Linked DNA regions of Arabidopsis thaliana. The protein of the gene in region 1 interacts with the protein of each later gene in a pairwise test. Each region holds a gene or a part of one and is shown in the gene's direction. Other genes may lie near its edges.

Region 1 (5,914 bases):
CTTTTTAGCTTTTATTTTATCATTCTGTTTTTTTTCTTTTGTCCAAACTATTTTTCAAATTTTTTATCAAATCCATTATATGTGAATAAAATAAAAACCATAAACCCAAATAATTGAATGGAACAAACAAACTAAAATGTATAAATTGAAAAATAAAACAAGCAAGAAATATTGGCGAGCATTTCCATTTCCGTCATGTCTCGTTGCTGTCTATAAATAATTTTTTCTTTTTAAGAAATTTGTTTCGTCCAGTTCTCGCAAAATCCCAAATTGTGGTTTGCCAACCCCTAAAAATATAACATGATTATTAGTAGATTGAGTTCACATGCCCAAGTTTTTCCAAAAGTTAGCCCAAATCTAAATTACATTATTAACGACACTTGTGGTCATGAGGAACATCGATAAACATAGAAGGTGTAACCACTAAGGAGTATTACATGCAAATGTGGTAACCAAAATCTGAAGGAATAATAAGAGGACAATTAGATCAGATCCGGTGGTTTAAGATTCAAATACCGAATTTGCCCTTGTGACATGTAAATTATTACTGGATTAACATAAATGGAGACACACGTAATAACTATTGACAAGGAAAGTATGTGGTATTGACCAAACAACACACATACACAGACACACTTCAAACTTAACCATGGTTACTCACACGTGATATGTCCTCCGGTTAAATATGTTTTCATTATCATTGTTAATTATTATTTTCTTATTATCACATTCCCATATATTAAAAGATTTTAGTGTTATCTAAAATAATTTCAGATTATAATTTCAGTTTCATAATTCCAATCTTGAAAATTTTGGTTCTTATACTTGTGTATATAATTGGATATTGGATTTTTGTTTACGTATGGCCTAGATCAAACTCTTGGTATTATTAATTGGAAAGCTAACTCTTACGACAAAAAAATACAATGACACATGCGGAAATTTATTGAGCCTTGCTACGATCATGTAGGATTGACATATGTATGTCGTATCTCTATCTTATTTGGATATATAGGGTATAGTCATATCAGAGAAATTTTCTAAAATGTTTTCTTAGGATCCTTAAATTATATTTTAAAAGGATTATCTAAGTCTCCTGATTTCCTATGAATTGGTTCGCAACCTACGAAAAAACTATGGGATCAAAAGCAAAAAATTCTAAGTTTTTTTTTCAACTTTGGTAAATTTTAACATAAATAGTTAGATGTTTATCTCCCTTCATTCCTTTTTGAAACCAATAATTTTAATCTTCCTTTCACTTACCATTTAGAAAAACACACGAAACTATGTTTTTTGTTTTTAAAAATATGTGTACCTCATATATATGCTGCATGTACAGCCTTTATACGTCTATATGCAGTTGTGTATTTCATATAATTATACTATACAAATAGAACATAAAATAGAACTATAGTTATTTACAACACAATATATATATATATATACAGCTGTATAATGTATTTTAGAATACTAGTCTGGGCCAATCAAACGGGAATATAAAAACCCGAGGTAGAATTTTATTTTTACATCGTTTAAACACAAAGAAAGATGGTTAGCAACAGCAAATTGCTTACATGGTTATCAACAAAATATCGTGTTTCGTAAACAATAAGTTAAAAATAATTCAATGAACTATTGGGATTATCAAATCAAACTGTAAAAATTAGTTTATTCAAAGAACAATTAATGGCTGAGTTAATTAGCTTGCCTTGAATTGTTAAATAATTAGATGCTTCTAATCAGATTTCAAGGAGATATGTCGGAAGCACCGACGACACGTGCGGATCCGTCACGTGCGCGATTCAACTCTTTAACTCGTATGTCGATATTTCTTTTTTTAATTCTCTTCTTTTTTCACACTCCATATTGTCGATTTTTATGCCCGGAATCAAGGGTTTGACTTACCAAATTGTTACCTTCTTTTAGGCTTAAAATTTATTACACTTAAAATAATCCGGATTAATATTTTCTAAAAAATTCACTAACTAGAGAAGAAATAATAATAAAAAAGACATGTGAAAGAGTTAATGAAAGTTGAGAAAAAAGAGATAATATTATTTTTATTTTATTTTTAGTTTTGTTTTTCTGCAGAAGAGCCAAAGCTCTTTCCTTCATATATACGAACCCCTTTTTCCATTTTCTTTGTGCAAAAAGTGTAACCTTCCTTATCCGATTCTGAAGCAGAAATTAGCTGCAGAATCTTCAGATTCTCTCTATACCTAGATTGGTTTTTCACAGAATCTTCGCTATTTTGTTCAGATCTGCCACTGTTTCAGGTTTGAACTAATTTTACATAAATTTTCTCTCCTAATCTTTCTCTGTTTCATCTTTGGTTTTCTCAATCGATTCGATATGAATTTGATTTGGTTTAGCTTGATTCGATTTGATCATCATGTCTAACTAGTTCTATCTAACTTTGTTAGTTTACTGTTCTTTTGTGTGGTTCTTGTTCTTACTTCAGACCGATCTATGTTTTTTTTGCTTTGTCTGCTTCACACAACACAATCGTGAGCTTGCTCTTATGAAAATCTAATCTAACTAAATTTTCTTAATTTGTGGTCTTTTTAATTTCATAATGGATTAATAAACTAAATATCCTCAAAACGTTCTTGAAGTTTTATAATTTGTATTTTTTGTTTTCTCCGGAGATTTGGTATTTGAAATCTTCTTACTATCTGAAATGACCCTTTTTGTCGGTTTTTCTTGAATCTTTTTATTTATTTTTATTTTCCGGGAAAATTTCGTTTGTTAGGTAAAGTTGACTGATACAAAGGACTTGAGTTGCTAAATAAAAAGCATTTGTATTGTGCTTTTGTTTGGTTACTCTGTTCTCAAACAAAAGCTGATACATTTGTATTTGTTGTTGCAGCAAAAACGGTCACAAAAAATATGATAAATGTGATGAATCCAATGAAAGGTGGAACAGAGAAAGGTTTAGATCCTCAGCTATGGCATGCATGTGCTGGTGGTATGGTTCGTATGCCTCCTATGAACTCTAAAGTCTTTTACTTTCCTCAAGGTCACGCCGAAAACGCTTACGATTGTGTCGATTTCGGTAATCTCCCTATTCCTCCCATGGTTTTGTGTCGTGTTTTAGCCATTAAGTATATGGCTGATGCTGAATCTGACGAGGTTTTCGCTAAACTGAGATTGATTCCTTTGAAAGATGATGAGTATGTTGATCACGAGTATGGTGATGGTGAAGATAGTAACGGTTTCGAGAGTAATAGTGAGAAAACGCCTTCGTTTGCTAAGACTTTGACTCAGTCTGATGCTAATAACGGTGGGGGTTTCTCTGTTCCTCGTTATTGCGCTGAGACGATTTTCCCGAGGTTGGATTATAACGCCGAGCCGCCGGTTCAGACCATTCTTGCTAAGGATGTTCATGGTGATGTTTGGAAGTTCAGACATATTTATAGAGGGACGCCTCGGCGTCACCTTCTTACAACCGGATGGAGTAATTTTGTAAACCAGAAGAAGCTTGTGGCGGGAGATTCGATTGTCTTCATGAGAGCGGAGAATGGAGATCTTTGTGTAGGTATTAGGAGGGCTAAGAGAGGAGGGATAGGTAATGGACCCGAATATTCAGCGGGTTGGAATCCGATCGGTGGAAGTTGCGGCTACTCTTCTCTGTTAAGGGAAGATGAAAGCAATAGTTTGAGGAGAAGTAATTGTTCCCTTGCGGATAGGAAGGGGAAAGTGACGGCTGAATCTGTTATAGAAGCAGCCACTCTTGCTATTAGCGGAAGACCGTTTGAGGTTGTGTACTATCCGAGAGCTAGCACTTCAGAGTTTTGTGTCAAGGCATTAGATGCTCGAGCTGCCATGCGGATTCCGTGGTGCTCAGGTATGAGGTTTAAGATGGCTTTTGAGACAGAGGATTCGTCTCGGATAAGTTGGTTTATGGGGACTGTTTCAGCTGTTAATGTCTCTGATCCTATCCGTTGGCCTAACTCTCCTTGGCGGCTTCTACAGGTAAACAAACACTCAAAATTTTCTTCTAGCTCAAGTTAGAATATAGACTCATAGGTTGCATTTTTGTGTTTTCAGGTGGCGTGGGATGAGCCAGATTTACTCCAAAACGTGAAGCGAGTTAACCCGTGGTTGGTGGAATTGGTATCAAACGTACATCCGATCCCGCTTACTTCGTTTTCGCCACCGAGGAAAAAGATGCGGCTACCTCAGCATCCAGATTACAACAATCTGATCAATTCGATTCCAGTACCTTCATTCCCAAGCAATCCCCTTATTAGATCAAGCCCGTTAAGCTCTGTTCTGGACAATGTTCCCGTGGGTTTACAGGGAGCCAGGCATAATGCTCATCAGTACTACGGGTTATCATCTTCGGATCTTCACCATTACTACTTGAATAGACCACCTCCTCCTCCTCCTCCATCCTCTCTCCAACTTTCTCCTTCTCTCGGTCTCCGAAACATCGATACCAAAAACGAAAAAGGATTTTGCTTTTTGACAATGGGAACAACACCATGCAATGATACCAAATCTAAAAAGTCCCATATTGTATTGTTCGGCAAGCTTATACTACCCGAGGAACAGCTATCAGAAAAAGGCTCAACGGATACCGCAAACATAGAGAAAACGCAGATTTCATCAGGCGGGTCGAACCAAAACGGCGTTGCGGGAAGGGAGTTTTCTTCGTCAGATGAAGGATCACCTTGCTCTAAGAAAGTTCATGATGCATCAGGTTTGGAAACAGGGCATTGTAAAGTGTTTATGGAGTCAGACGATGTAGGTCGAACCTTAGACCTATCGGTTCTTGGTTCATACGAAGAATTGAGTCGGAAACTCTCTGACATGTTTGGAATCAAAAAGTCTGAGATGTTAAGCTCTGTTCTCTATAGGGATGCATCAGGAGCCATCAAATACGCAGGAAACGAACCTTTCAGGTACATTTTTTTATTATAGACAAGATTGTCATATTTTTCGTACTATTTTGATGATGAAGTAAAAGAAAACATCTAATAGTTGTTGGTGTTTTGACTCATCTTTGGCAGTGAGTTCTTGAAGACAGCTCGAAGATTGACAATTCTGACGGAACAAGGAAGTGAGAGCGTTGTAGTATAACTTGGCAGAGTGTTTTGTTGGAGCTTGGAAGTCAAAACTCAACGATTGAATCTTTTAAGTTTTTTTTTTCTTTTATTTGTTTATTTTAGTTCCACTTTTTTGGATTATGTAAGTTTCAAAATGCAATTCACAATCTATTTGCAAATAAAATAGGTTCTTCTTCCCTTGAAAAGCTTCATTGATCAAATAGGGTATAAGAACCAAAGTCTAGACGGCAAATTATGATATGTTTGTCAAAGTCACTTCAATTTGTCTACAAATTAGTGATGACACGCATAAACCAATAGGCCTCAAACATGGTTGCATTGCTTACTTTGATTCATTATGTAATATATAAAGTGATTTTTCTTTAAATATTTCATTATTTGTTTCTTGGGATCAATAAGTTGTTGAGAGGTATGAAAAGTAATAAAAATCTGGAAGACAATTAGTTAGGGTGATGCGAGGGTCATGTCTCTAGGCACATGCACAACAAACAACGGTCGGATCCTATGTTTGACAAAACACAAAGTCCTCAACACCTAAGTTAAGTTGGATCTCCCACTTTTCATTTATAACTCAAAACTATATATATATTTAAAAGATTTTCAGATTCCAATGTATACACAACGAAAATTCCATATCATCTTCAACCTACTAATTATAAATGTACAACGAAAGTACTCTATATTCGCTTCTCGGTTCTCAAAGTCAATGAAGTTCTAAACTCACTTTTTCTCTGCTTATTTAATGTAAAAAGACCAAAAGTTCTAGCCCTTTTTACTTTCTAGTCTTTAATCTTATATAAAACCATACTCACTTTTTCTGTTCCAACCTAATGTCCTATAAT
Region 2 (5,839 bases), on another chromosome or scaffold:
GAAGTTTCGACTGGACCATTGACATCAATGGCCAAGCTTCTGGTGTTTTCTTGGGAGGAGCATAGGGGAAGGAGGAGGAAGAGGAGAGAGACTAAGAGTTGATGATGAATCTCCATGACTTCATGTGGTTTGAAGTTGAAACAATAAATACAAAGTTTAGAATTGATGATAATCAATTCATGAGTTCATTTCATAAGTATAACTGTTAAAGTTTGTGTGTATCTAGCTCTTTGTAAAGAATTGGATGACGGTATATATGGAACTTGAATACTTGATCCACTAGTTTCTTAGCTATAGATAGAAGAAGAGAAAAGAAAAGAAAAGTTTTAGAATTTGCTTTTAGAGTGTAAAGAAATGTGATAAAAAGAAAAAAAAAAAAAGTTAAGCTCGCAACTTTGTTATATAATATGGTTTTGCATGGAGGTTGATGGTTTATTTTACTAGTATCTCTGAATTTAAATGAAGAAAAGCAAGTGGAGGAATGGGCAATCGATTTGATATAACGAACTTCATTTTTGTCAATCTTAATTAGATGTTAATAATGATGTTTTATATCTAAAAAGGACTATATATATATAATTTGAGTATTGAATTTAATTAATGAATGTAAGAAAAAACAGAAGAATATTCAAGTGGATGTCACTATCTCTGCGACTCTACAGCACTTTTGGTTTTCTATGAAAAAAAAAAGAAGAAACTGAAACTGAAAATTCCTTAAGGTCAGATTCATCCAAAAGTAGAATTTTAATGGACTTTTATGTTTTGTGGAAGAATGTCAGATTTTGCAAGGGAAAGTGAGTCATGGCAGGTTGCACTAGCTCATAGACCACTAACAATATGTTACTGTCAACAAACATCATGATTTCACTATGGAAGGTATACATGAATGACCACATCACATGGATATATATTTTCTTATTTTCAAACACTAATCATAAGAACATACCAAATTTTAGATAAATGGTCAAACTTATAAATGTCAAAAGGTGTCCAAATTCTGTAGTATATTATATAGTAGAAGTTTCTTCTTATTTTGGAGATTGAATATAAAGGAGCCAAAAAAATATGGATTTTGATAGCTTCTTAGACGTTTCATTTAGGAAATATATGCATGGTTGGGTTGATGAGAATGCCATAGAAGTGAAAAACAAATGAGAAAATTCATACAAAAGGAATCTACATACGTAGAATAAAGCAAGAGGACCACTTCACGTTTTGCAGCTTTCCCACTTCAGTTAACCCCAAAATTGAATATTGTCTTGGCTTACATGTCTACTACTCTTTTGCTTTGATGCTTTTCAATCCATTTCTGTATCCCCAACAAGTTGTTGTGTTTCCTCCTCCTATGTAGTTATCAGCGCCTAGCTATTAAGGAAAGAGTATCATCATATCACATATGATTACTCAAATCTCATATATTATTGAATATTATGTTATGTACTTATATCATGTTTCATTACGACCATTAGGGAAGTTGTAGTACATTGAAAATCTTGAAGATTAAGAGAAAGTGTAAAGCTGTGTCTAACGCATCTATGTTTGAAGTCCCTGTGAACTAAGTGTCTAAGTCACCACTACCAAGCGTCGAAGCTAGTACGCAATATTTCACAATCTTGCACACATTTGAGATTAGTTGGGCAAAGTAAGAACTCTGCTCTCTCCTAAACGATTGGCTTGTTACAGCCCGGCCCATTGATGTTCCTTAGCCCATCGTTTATGTAAAGCTTCTCCCTTAACAAAGCCTACCTTCTACAGATCTACTTAATCATCCTCATAACCAAAAACAAAACAAAAGAATCATGTGATGACACCTCCACCGTCAGATCAAAAACCATAAAAATGAAGTGAACAAACAAAAAGTGAGAAACTCAAGAACCGGTTCATTTGACGAGTAAGCTGATCCAGTATCGTACCGACCGGTTAAGTTGATTTGATCGCGTTGAAAGAGTGAAGACAGATTCAACTGCAATTCCGCGAAACCAAACCTAACAGCATTTTTCTCCAATTCCTTCTTCTTCTTCTTCTTCTTCTGTAACCTCGTCTTCTTCAGCTTATACTCATAGCTATACCAAAGAAAACCTCTTAAAACCCTTCTTCTCTCGATCCATCGATCAGCAACAATTCACTTCTAATCGATCAAGAGCTTTCCGATCTCGTCGATCCCAATTAACATGGCTTCCAACGGCGCTTCTCCGGTCTTTTTCTCTCTTGATCTCTGTGTGCTACAATTTAGTCTCTTTCTTTTGGCTGCTTTTCTCATTCACACTCTTAAATTGACCCATTTTGTCAATTTCTGAAAATGCGCAGAGAATTGTTGATGCTACTGAGAACAGCTTGGATAAGATCAAGCGACAATTGGCATCTGGCTCTGGTCGGAACTTGCTACAAGGACCTCTTTTCAAGCGATCTGAAACTGTAAGTCCAATTTTTTTAAGTGAAAATGATCAAAACCAGTTTTTGCTTTATTGATTGGGATTTCTTAGTTAGCTCAAACTAAGAAGACTCTCTGATAGCTCACTATTAGATTTCTATAGCTTAAACAAGTCTTTTGGCCTGAAATGTCTTGGCTTATTCAAAGGTTCACAATGATAATATCTTTTGTTTGTGTTTATGTATGAATAGCTGAGAAAATGGAACGAACGATGGGTGATACTTGATCCAACAACAGGGAAAATGGAGTATAAGTGAGTTATATCAATTTGCTTATGTAGCTGCATTTGTGTGTAGACCACTTCATCATGGTTTTATTCATTTCTGATGTATTTCCATGACTCAGGACGAGGCGAAATGAGCCAACTATCAAGGGAACAATTTTGTTTGACGAAAATAGCACAATCTCCATCTCTCCTGTCAACTTCCAGTATGGATGCTACATTCTTTTTTTTGTTGCTCTGTATAATCATCATTATTTGGTGTCTGTTTGTATCATTGACTTTGTTTCTTTTGTGTTTCAGGGGGCTTCCAAAATATAATGGTTGCTGTATTTGTATCCTTGGTTTTAGTAAAATGTTGGCATATTTATAATTGTTTCTTTTGTCTATAAGGAGATAGTTGATTGGAATCTAGAGTTGAATTTTCTTCAACTTGATATAAGATATTGGTACCCCACAGAAGAAAGATTACTTTTTGTGTGCAGAGACTCCTGGTGCAGCTAAAGCTTGGGTCACAACCTTACAGTAAGTCATCTGGATCTTCATCTTTTTGTTTGCTTCTCTTTCTGTCCTTTTTATTTACTTACCATTCTCTAGAGAAGCCACCCCGCTTATTTCATCTATCTTAAATAATTCATAGTTGTGTTGATTTAATGGTTTCGTCGTCGACCATGTTGAAAGAATCATCTTTCTCTCTCTTTTTACGTTTCTTACTGAAAATGTAATACCTTCTAAATGCCCCTCAAAAGCCAATCTGATAAACCTTATCTTTCTTTGTTCGTTCCAGTGCGACACAGCTAGTTCTAAAGGCCCATAAGGAGGCTGTCGAATCTCTAAGTGGAAGTGGTTCTGCAACACTTGGTACCGTTGCAACCGTTGTTGCCGCTGCCAATTCAACAGCATTGGAATGTTCCAGAGAAATTCAAGCAGCAATGCAGATCTCTTTGAGGAATGCATTGAAAATAACGCCAAATAAACCGATTGATGGACCACTAGATGATTTGACAATAATGAAGGTGTGGTATCTTTGCATCTCTCTTTCTCTTCGAATTTGGGAAACTTTTGTGAATAGCATATTGACATCCTTTGGCTGTTGAGATTCTGAAATGTCAAGATGAACGATGAAAGCATATAGGGACACCTTACAGGAAACTCTGCTTGTCAAGGATGAAAATTAACAGAATTAGCATAAATCTTATTCGTCCATCTTCATTCTAATGTCCAGGTTAACCTTATTGAGCCACTTACATCTTACAGGAAACTCTGCGTGTCAAAGATGAAGAATTACATAATTTAGCCAGGGAACTTCGTTCTCGTGACTCAATGATAAAGGAAATAGCAGATAAGCTATCTGAGACTGCTGAAGCAGCTGTAGCTGCAGCATCTGCTGCTCATACAATGGATGAACAAAGGAAAATCGTTTGTGTGGAATTTGAGCGCTTGACTACAGACTCACAGAGACAGCAAGAAGCCACAAAATTAAAGGTAATGAGGCCATGTCATATATAGATACTTTTGCATCCTTGTGTATGTTTTGTTGTTTATTTGATCTTTATCTCCTATGTAGCTCAAGGAATTGGAAGAGAAGACCTTTACTTTGAGTAAGGAAAAAGATCAATTGGTTAAGGAAAGAGACGCTGCTCTCCAAGAGGCACATATGTGGCGGTCTGAGCTTGGGAAAGCCAGAGAGCGTGTTGTCATACTTGAAGGAGCTGTTGTGAGGGCCGAAGAGAAAGTGAGGGTTGCAGAAGCAAGCGGTGAAGCAAAATCAAAAGAGGCTTCTCAGAGAGAAGCAACTGCTTGGACAGAGAAGCAAGAGCTTTTAGCATATGTGAATATGTTACAAACTCAGCTTCAAAGGTGAGCCTATCTGAATCTATCTCCCAGGGAAACTCATGACTTTTGAAGGGTCATAAATCTCTTTATTTTTGAATAAACAGGCAGCAACTAGAGACAAAGCAAGTGTGTGAGGAGAAGACTGAGTCTACTAACGGCGAAGCTTCTCTTCCAATGACAAAGGAAACAGAAAAGAATGTGGATAAAGCATGTCTGAGCATTTCAAGAACAGCCTCTATACCGGGAGAGAATGTAGTCCATATGAGTGAAGAGCAGGTAGTAAACGCTCAGCCTCCGGTGGGAGAAAACGAATGGAATGATATTCAGGCAACAGAGGCAAGAGTTTCTGATGTAAGAGAAATATCTGCAGAGACTGAACGGGACAGAAGAAACAGCTTGGATATCCCGGTAGTGTCTCCTGAACCTAACGTTCCACGCAATGATCCGCCTTCCGAATCATTTCATCACCAGCCTTGAATAAAGATTGGTAGATCTTCGTACATTTTAATATACTCTTTGATGGTCTGGTAATGTTTGGAGAGTTGATTCTTCTAACAACAAAAAGAATTTGTCTTTTTAGTTTTCTTGTACATTCAAGAGTTGTTATGTATCTGCCGCTCTTGAATTTGTCTGACTAGGGAATGATTCTTTTTCCCTTTTATTACAACATGAAGAACAGAGAGATATGTGTTAAACTTTGACTTATGTTTTTGGATTCATATAAACCAGTTTTCATATAAATGCAATCCTTCAACAAACCACGATGGTTGTGATGTTAGTACCAGTTTTATCAAAGACCTACACTGAATAGAGGAATATACATGGGTTGAGTCACTCTGATTTTAAACTCTTATTGAAAAGCTTGAAAAGTTACAGAATACAAGAAACCAGAGACAACAAATGAGACAGAGTTCCGTTTCTTATTGAAACAACAAGACAATCGACCCGAAAACGAACTCCCTCAAAGAACACAAAGCTCACACAAACCCCCCAAGTCAACATCTCCTTGTTTAAACAGGTAGTGAGTACTTAGCGGAAACCTCCTTCCACGCAGCACGGCTACTAATCTTATCCCACCAAGCGCTAACATGCTTCCTATCTTTGATCAAATGAGCCTTCCCAATAGGACCAACAAGATACTCGGTGAAAGGAAGGTGAGCCAAATCAGCTAGACTCACAAAATCACCAGCCAAGTATTCGTTCTTAGAAAGCTGAGCTTCATAGACATCAAGCACTTCTGCAAGCTTCTCTTCACTCTCCTTAATAACTTTCTCATCAGCAGGGAAACCCATAAGTGGTGCAAAGACAATGTTGAGCGTTAAAGCCAATAGTGGTGGATGGTAACTTGTAGC
Region 3 (5,027 bases), on another chromosome or scaffold:
AATTATTTTACTTTGATATGTAAAAACTCCACTTGCGTAAGAGGTGAAGCCTTCTGGAATACAAGTCTGATAAGAAGAGATGAGAAAAAAAAAAAAAAAAATTAGTTTTCTATAGTCTACTCTAAATATGCAAATACAAGCACCCAAAAACATGAACAAAATTTTGAAGAAAGGAGTACAATCAAATATGCAAGGCATGATTTTTTTTCATTCAACTCTAAGAAACTTGCATTATATATGTGATAAATTCACAAAACTACTAGTATTAGTAGTCAAAACTCAATAGTCAACCCATTTTTCCATAAAGGCATGAAGTTCATGAACATTGATGATCAACAATTGGGCTCATTTTCAGCGTGATTTTCATGGGCCAGTTATACTAGAGGATCAGTTCAGACCTTATCCATATTTGGATTATTTTTTCTTTTATTCCTCTTTTTATTTTGTTAAAATGATATCAATTTCTTACATATACTCCTTTTTTAGTTCACTAAAAAAATTAGTGAGTGGATAAAAATAATTTTATTTCTTGGTGAAAATTCTAGGAAGAGCATCATTGACACCACCACTATTCTCACTTGCTTTTCTTTATTTCCCTTGATATGACATTCAATTCACGAGTTGTTTTTTTGTTCCTTTTCTCCTGAGTCGGCTACTTTTTTAATCGGATGCTTTGCTTTGTACTCTTTTAATCACAGCCGTCACATTTGCTATATCTCTATTCACTTCTACGGCTTTGATTAAAGCCCAAATTTAAACCTTATCGTACGATCTCAAAATCTTGTGCAACTTCAACATGTGTCCACTGTCTAGTTTGTCTGTGCGGATCTAGTTAGTGCGGTTAAGTTAAACCGGAGAGGTTCAGGTTATGTTAACCATGGTTAAGGTTTTGTCTGACAGTGAGGGAAGAAAGTCACGGAGTTGGGTAAAACGGCGACAAGATATGACTAGAGACACACTCCTTCTTCAATTTCCTAAATTACCCTTCCTTACTTGACCGGAACTCTCACTCGAGATTTTTCTACGTCGGCTTTATCGTAATATCGGTGTCACACGTACGTGGGAGAGACATGTACATTCTTTTCCCCCTCCTGAAAAACCAAATAAAATAGCTTCAATCTTTGGTTGAAAAACTTGAAATATGTTCTTGATTTACGCTGCAAAATTATGTACATTTTTTAAGATCAAAGGACCAACTACAATTGTTTCTGCTAAAGTCTTTTCTTTTGTTATTTTTATCAAAATATGTTGATTTTGTAGATTTGAGAAAAGAAAATTTTTGATTAGGAAAAACAAACAAACAGTTGACTATTTACTTGGTTGGGGAAGCAAATTAAATTATACCATCGTAATCCACACGTACACATTGTTTTTAACTTTTGACAAAATAATTGTTTAGCTACCTAACAAATTGACATATTGTGTGGCAAATTTATAAATAAATAATTACATATATCTCACTGAGACGCCATGCAGATTCGTATGTTTATACAATGCCTCACCCATTTCTTGAATTCTCTCAATTGATCTTCCCATGATGTTCATTTATTATTTGCTTTATGTATATCTTTGTAGAATGGTAGTATTACTATTAAAGTATCAAATTACCATGACGACCTATAGAAAAATGTTTTTAGAAAAGCATAGGGATATGTGTCTTATGGACAGTGGATAAGAGAGTGGTCCTAAAAACAGACCATAAATTATGGGATCTTCCCTTAGTTCCTTTATTGTTATCATATTTTAATTACTCTTATTAGTATTTTTTTAATGGTCAAGTTGTTTATTGGAATTACGCATTTAATTATTTTTCTAATTCGTATACTTGTGAGAAACAGAACAGCACGCTTTGCTTCTTTTACTAGACAAACCCTTAATTAGCGATATTTGAGGCAGAAAAAAAGACAAGGTTGCGTGTGTTTTACTCCACAAAAGAACTCCTAAAACCAAAAACGTTAAAACCCACTTCTTTTTTTTCACAGTATTCTCTTTTCATGTCAAGAACAATTACTGTTTTTCTTGGTATGCAATCTGTAAATTTATTGTAGTTTTCATTTCTACTTTTGGGGTTTAGGAGTAAAAGTGGAGTCACTCTACTTTGCTTTACCTTTTTCTGAGTTTTTTTTTGTTCATACAAATCCAAATTTCCTTTTCTTTGTATTCCTATTTTTTCTCTTCTCGTCCCTTTCAGAATCTTTAGAGAGAGAGAACAACAAATTGAGAAAGAAAAAAAGGTAAGGCTGTGTGAGAGAGAACCCACCAAAGCGTGCACGAGAGAGAGAAAAAAAAAGCTTTGATTTTGTATAAAATCCCACCACTGCTCTCTTACCATACCTTCATTACACATCTCTCTTTCTCTCTCTCGCTCTCAGTTTTGTGGGATTGTTTCTTTAAAAGGGGTTCTTAGGGTTTAGTGAAGCTATAGATTTCAATTTCATACATAGTTAACGTATAGAAGGAATCTTGGGTTGATCAATGGAAGGTTGTCCAAGAAACAGAGAAATCGGTCCAAAACTTCTTGATTTGATTCCACAAGGAAGGAAATGGTACCAAGAAGACAAGAACAACACAGATCAGGAGAAGAAACTTGAGCTAAGGCTTGGACCACCCGGTGGTGATGAAGAAGATCATTCAGCAATCAAGAAGAAGAACACAGAGATAAGAAACATCAAGAAGGAAACAGAAGACAAATCTTTCCACTGTTTTAATGGCAATCACTTCTCTCCTTCCAACAAAACCACTTCTGTTCCTCACATCTCACAGAAAAGGTATAATCTCCTTTTTTTTCCTTCACTGTTATTTTTTCTTACTGCTTTGACAGAGGATATTCTCTTGAACATTAGGGACCCATCTTCTGCAATCTGTGTTTTTTTTTTTACCTTCACATGTTAAAAGTTTCAACATTTACTCTGTTTTGCTCTGTTTTTGTCGTTTGGTATTGACATATGTCTCTTGTTTCTTTTGATATCTGGTTCAAAGAACTGCTCCTGGTCCAGTGGTGGGTTGGCCTCCGGTTCGTTCGTTCAGAAAGAATCTAGCGAGCACAAGCTCTTCAAAGCTAGGTAACGAATCCTCTCATGGAGGTCAAATCAACAAGAGTGATGATGGTGAAAAACAAGTTGAAACCAAGAAGGAAGGAATGTTTGTCAAGATCAACATGGATGGTGTTCCTATTGGTCGTAAAGTTGATCTCAATGCTTACAACAGCTACGAACAGCTCTCTTTTGTCGTTGACAAACTCTTCAGAGGTCTACTCGCAGGTTAAATCTTAATCTCAAATTCTGTTTTTTAGTTCTTTAGGAGTGTTACTTGTGTTTACTGAGTATGATTTGTGTATGTTGTTGGTTTATAGCTCAAAGAGATATCTCTGATGGTCAAGGAGAAGAGAAACCTATCATTGGATTATTAGATGGGAAAGGAGAATTTACTTTAACCTATGAAGACAATGAAGGGGACAAGATGCTTGTTGGGGATGTTCCATGGCAGTAAGAATCTTTTCCCCTTTTGTTCTCTGAATCTGATTCAGTGTTTTGCAGAATTAGATTCTTGATCATATAACAACAAAAGTTCTCAGCTTTTAATCAATAGTAGTAGTAATTCAAATTGATAATTCTTTACCTAAAGAATAGAATTTTGCTTGGAGATTTGTTTATACCTCTTTTTTTGCATACTAACTGATCTTTAATCTTTGTTTTTAAACACAGAATGTTTGTTTCATCTGTGAAGAGACTGCGTGTGATTAAAAGCTCTGAGATTTCATCTGCCTTGACATGTAAGCTTCTGTTCTTATATGTTTAGATGATTTATTAGAGCTATATGATTAAAAGGGTTCCTCTGTATATTTGCAGTTGGATGCAGTAAGCAAGAGAAGATGATGCACTGAAGAGTCTTTTTAGAAACTTTTATTTCAGACAGAGAGTCTCAAAGCTTTATAAATGTACATCTGGTTTTTGTTATATATAAGAGTTAATCATTGGTTTTTTACTTTTTTTTTGGTCCAGAGAAACATTTGATCTGATCTGATATTCCCATGTCTTCAAGACACTAGACGATGAGATTACATAAGCAATCTGTGTTTATAAGCATTTTAATTAATTAAGGAGATAATTAGAACATACTGTAATAATTATCTCATGCATGTCTGCAAAACTCTTTTTGAAAAAAGAAGATGAAATTTTTATTCTCTGTAAAAGCTCTTTTAACTTTTGTTCCTTCCAACTTTGGCTATACCTTTAATCATGTAAAAAGCTGAGAATGAAAGGCCATTATTGTTGTTTTTGTTGTTGTCTTTTTTTTTCTTCTTGTTTTTACTATTTAACCTGAGTATGCATGTATATAAGAAGATAAGATTGGAAGTTGAAAACTCAAAAAAGACTTTTCAGAATGAGATCAGTCCATGTCGTGATAATTTTGGTGGCTATATCATCTCTTTTGTTCTTCTAGGTGCAGAATTTAGCAGCTTTTTATCCTGACTTTTTAAATCATACATACACATTGTAACTTATTGGACAGTGTCTTGGTGGATCGACTAAAACATCACTATAGATATGTTTAATTTAGCACATTGTTTTCGTGATAAATATATTCATACCACAAGCATCACTTGGCCGACTTGTATTCATCTTAAAAATTTTATTCGAAGTTGTCCTTCTCATTACCAGATGAGTGTTGTGGTTAAACAATATAACCATTGAAATTGATGCAGCCAAATAGTTTGATAATAACATTTTTTGGTAGCTAAATAATGGTATATGTTTTAACTTTTAACCAAACCAAAAAAGAAACATTTTCGAAACATATGTAAAGCGATAGCCGCAACATAATGAGTTGGAAAATTCCGTTGTTTCATTTGTTGCAAAATGTCGCACCAGTGCCGGCTCTAGGGGAGTGCTAGAGGAGCAAAAGCACAGGGTCCTCAATTTTTTTTTCAATTTTCTTTAAGGTTTTAGGGTCCAAAAATTACAGAAATTAAAAACCAATATTAACTAAAGTCAGTTTTTATAAATCAGCAAAAGGTCTTCAAAAAG

What was found.
Region 2: the proteins of ARF16 (region 1) and SWAP70 interact in a two-hybrid assay, tested with the Arabidopsis thaliana proteins (one large-scale study listed by BioGRID).
Region 3: the proteins of ARF16 (region 1) and PAP1 interact in a two-hybrid assay, tested with the Arabidopsis thaliana proteins (one large-scale study listed by BioGRID).

The regions. Positions count from the first base shown.
Region 1 is NC_003075.7:14,702,540-14,708,453, reverse strand, and holds ARF16 (auxin response factor 16), read left to right. Parts: upstream 1-2,099; 5' UTR 2,100-2,276; intron 2,277-2,869; 5' UTR 2,870-2,889; coding exon 2,890-3,975; intron 3,976-4,050; coding exon 4,051-4,907; intron 4,908-5,015; coding exon 5,016-5,085; 3' UTR 5,086-5,389; downstream 5,390-5,914. UniProt on the Arabidopsis thaliana protein: Auxin response factors (ARFs) are transcriptional factors that bind specifically to the DNA sequence 5'-TGTCTC-3' found in the auxin-responsive promoter elements (AuxREs). Could act as transcriptional activator or repressor.
Region 2 is NC_003071.7:13,142,051-13,147,889, reverse strand, and holds SWAP70 (Pleckstrin homology (PH) domain-containing protein), read left to right. Parts: upstream 1-1,829; 5' UTR 1,830-2,171; coding exon 2,172-2,195; intron 2,196-2,307; coding exon 2,308-2,415; intron 2,416-2,622; coding exon 2,623-2,684; intron 2,685-2,776; coding exon 2,777-2,860; intron 2,861-2,954; coding exon 2,955-2,986; intron 2,987-3,094; coding exon 3,095-3,176; intron 3,177-3,438; coding exon 3,439-3,667; intron 3,668-3,908; coding exon 3,909-4,136; intron 4,137-4,218; coding exon 4,219-4,511; coding exon of another isoform or gene 4,512-4,515; exon of another isoform or gene 4,516-4,591; coding exon 4,592-4,964; 3' UTR 4,965-5,225; downstream 5,226-5,839. Other genes in the region: AT2G30890 (Cytochrome b561/ferric reductase transmembrane protein family), read right to left, coding at 1-116; GSTF10 (glutathione S-transferase PHI 10), read right to left, coding at 5,498-5,839.
Region 3 is NC_003074.8:5,611,657-5,616,683, reverse strand, and holds PAP1 (phytochrome-associated protein 1), read left to right. Parts: upstream 1-1,880; 5' UTR 1,881-2,475; coding exon 2,476-2,768; intron 2,769-2,979; coding exon 2,980-3,260; intron 3,261-3,352; coding exon 3,353-3,485; intron 3,486-3,704; coding exon 3,705-3,772; coding exon of another isoform or gene 3,773-3,798; exon of another isoform or gene 3,799-3,848; coding exon 3,849-3,883; 3' UTR 3,884-4,481; downstream 4,482-5,027. UniProt on the Arabidopsis thaliana protein: Aux/IAA proteins are short-lived transcriptional factors that function as repressors of early auxin response genes at low auxin concentrations.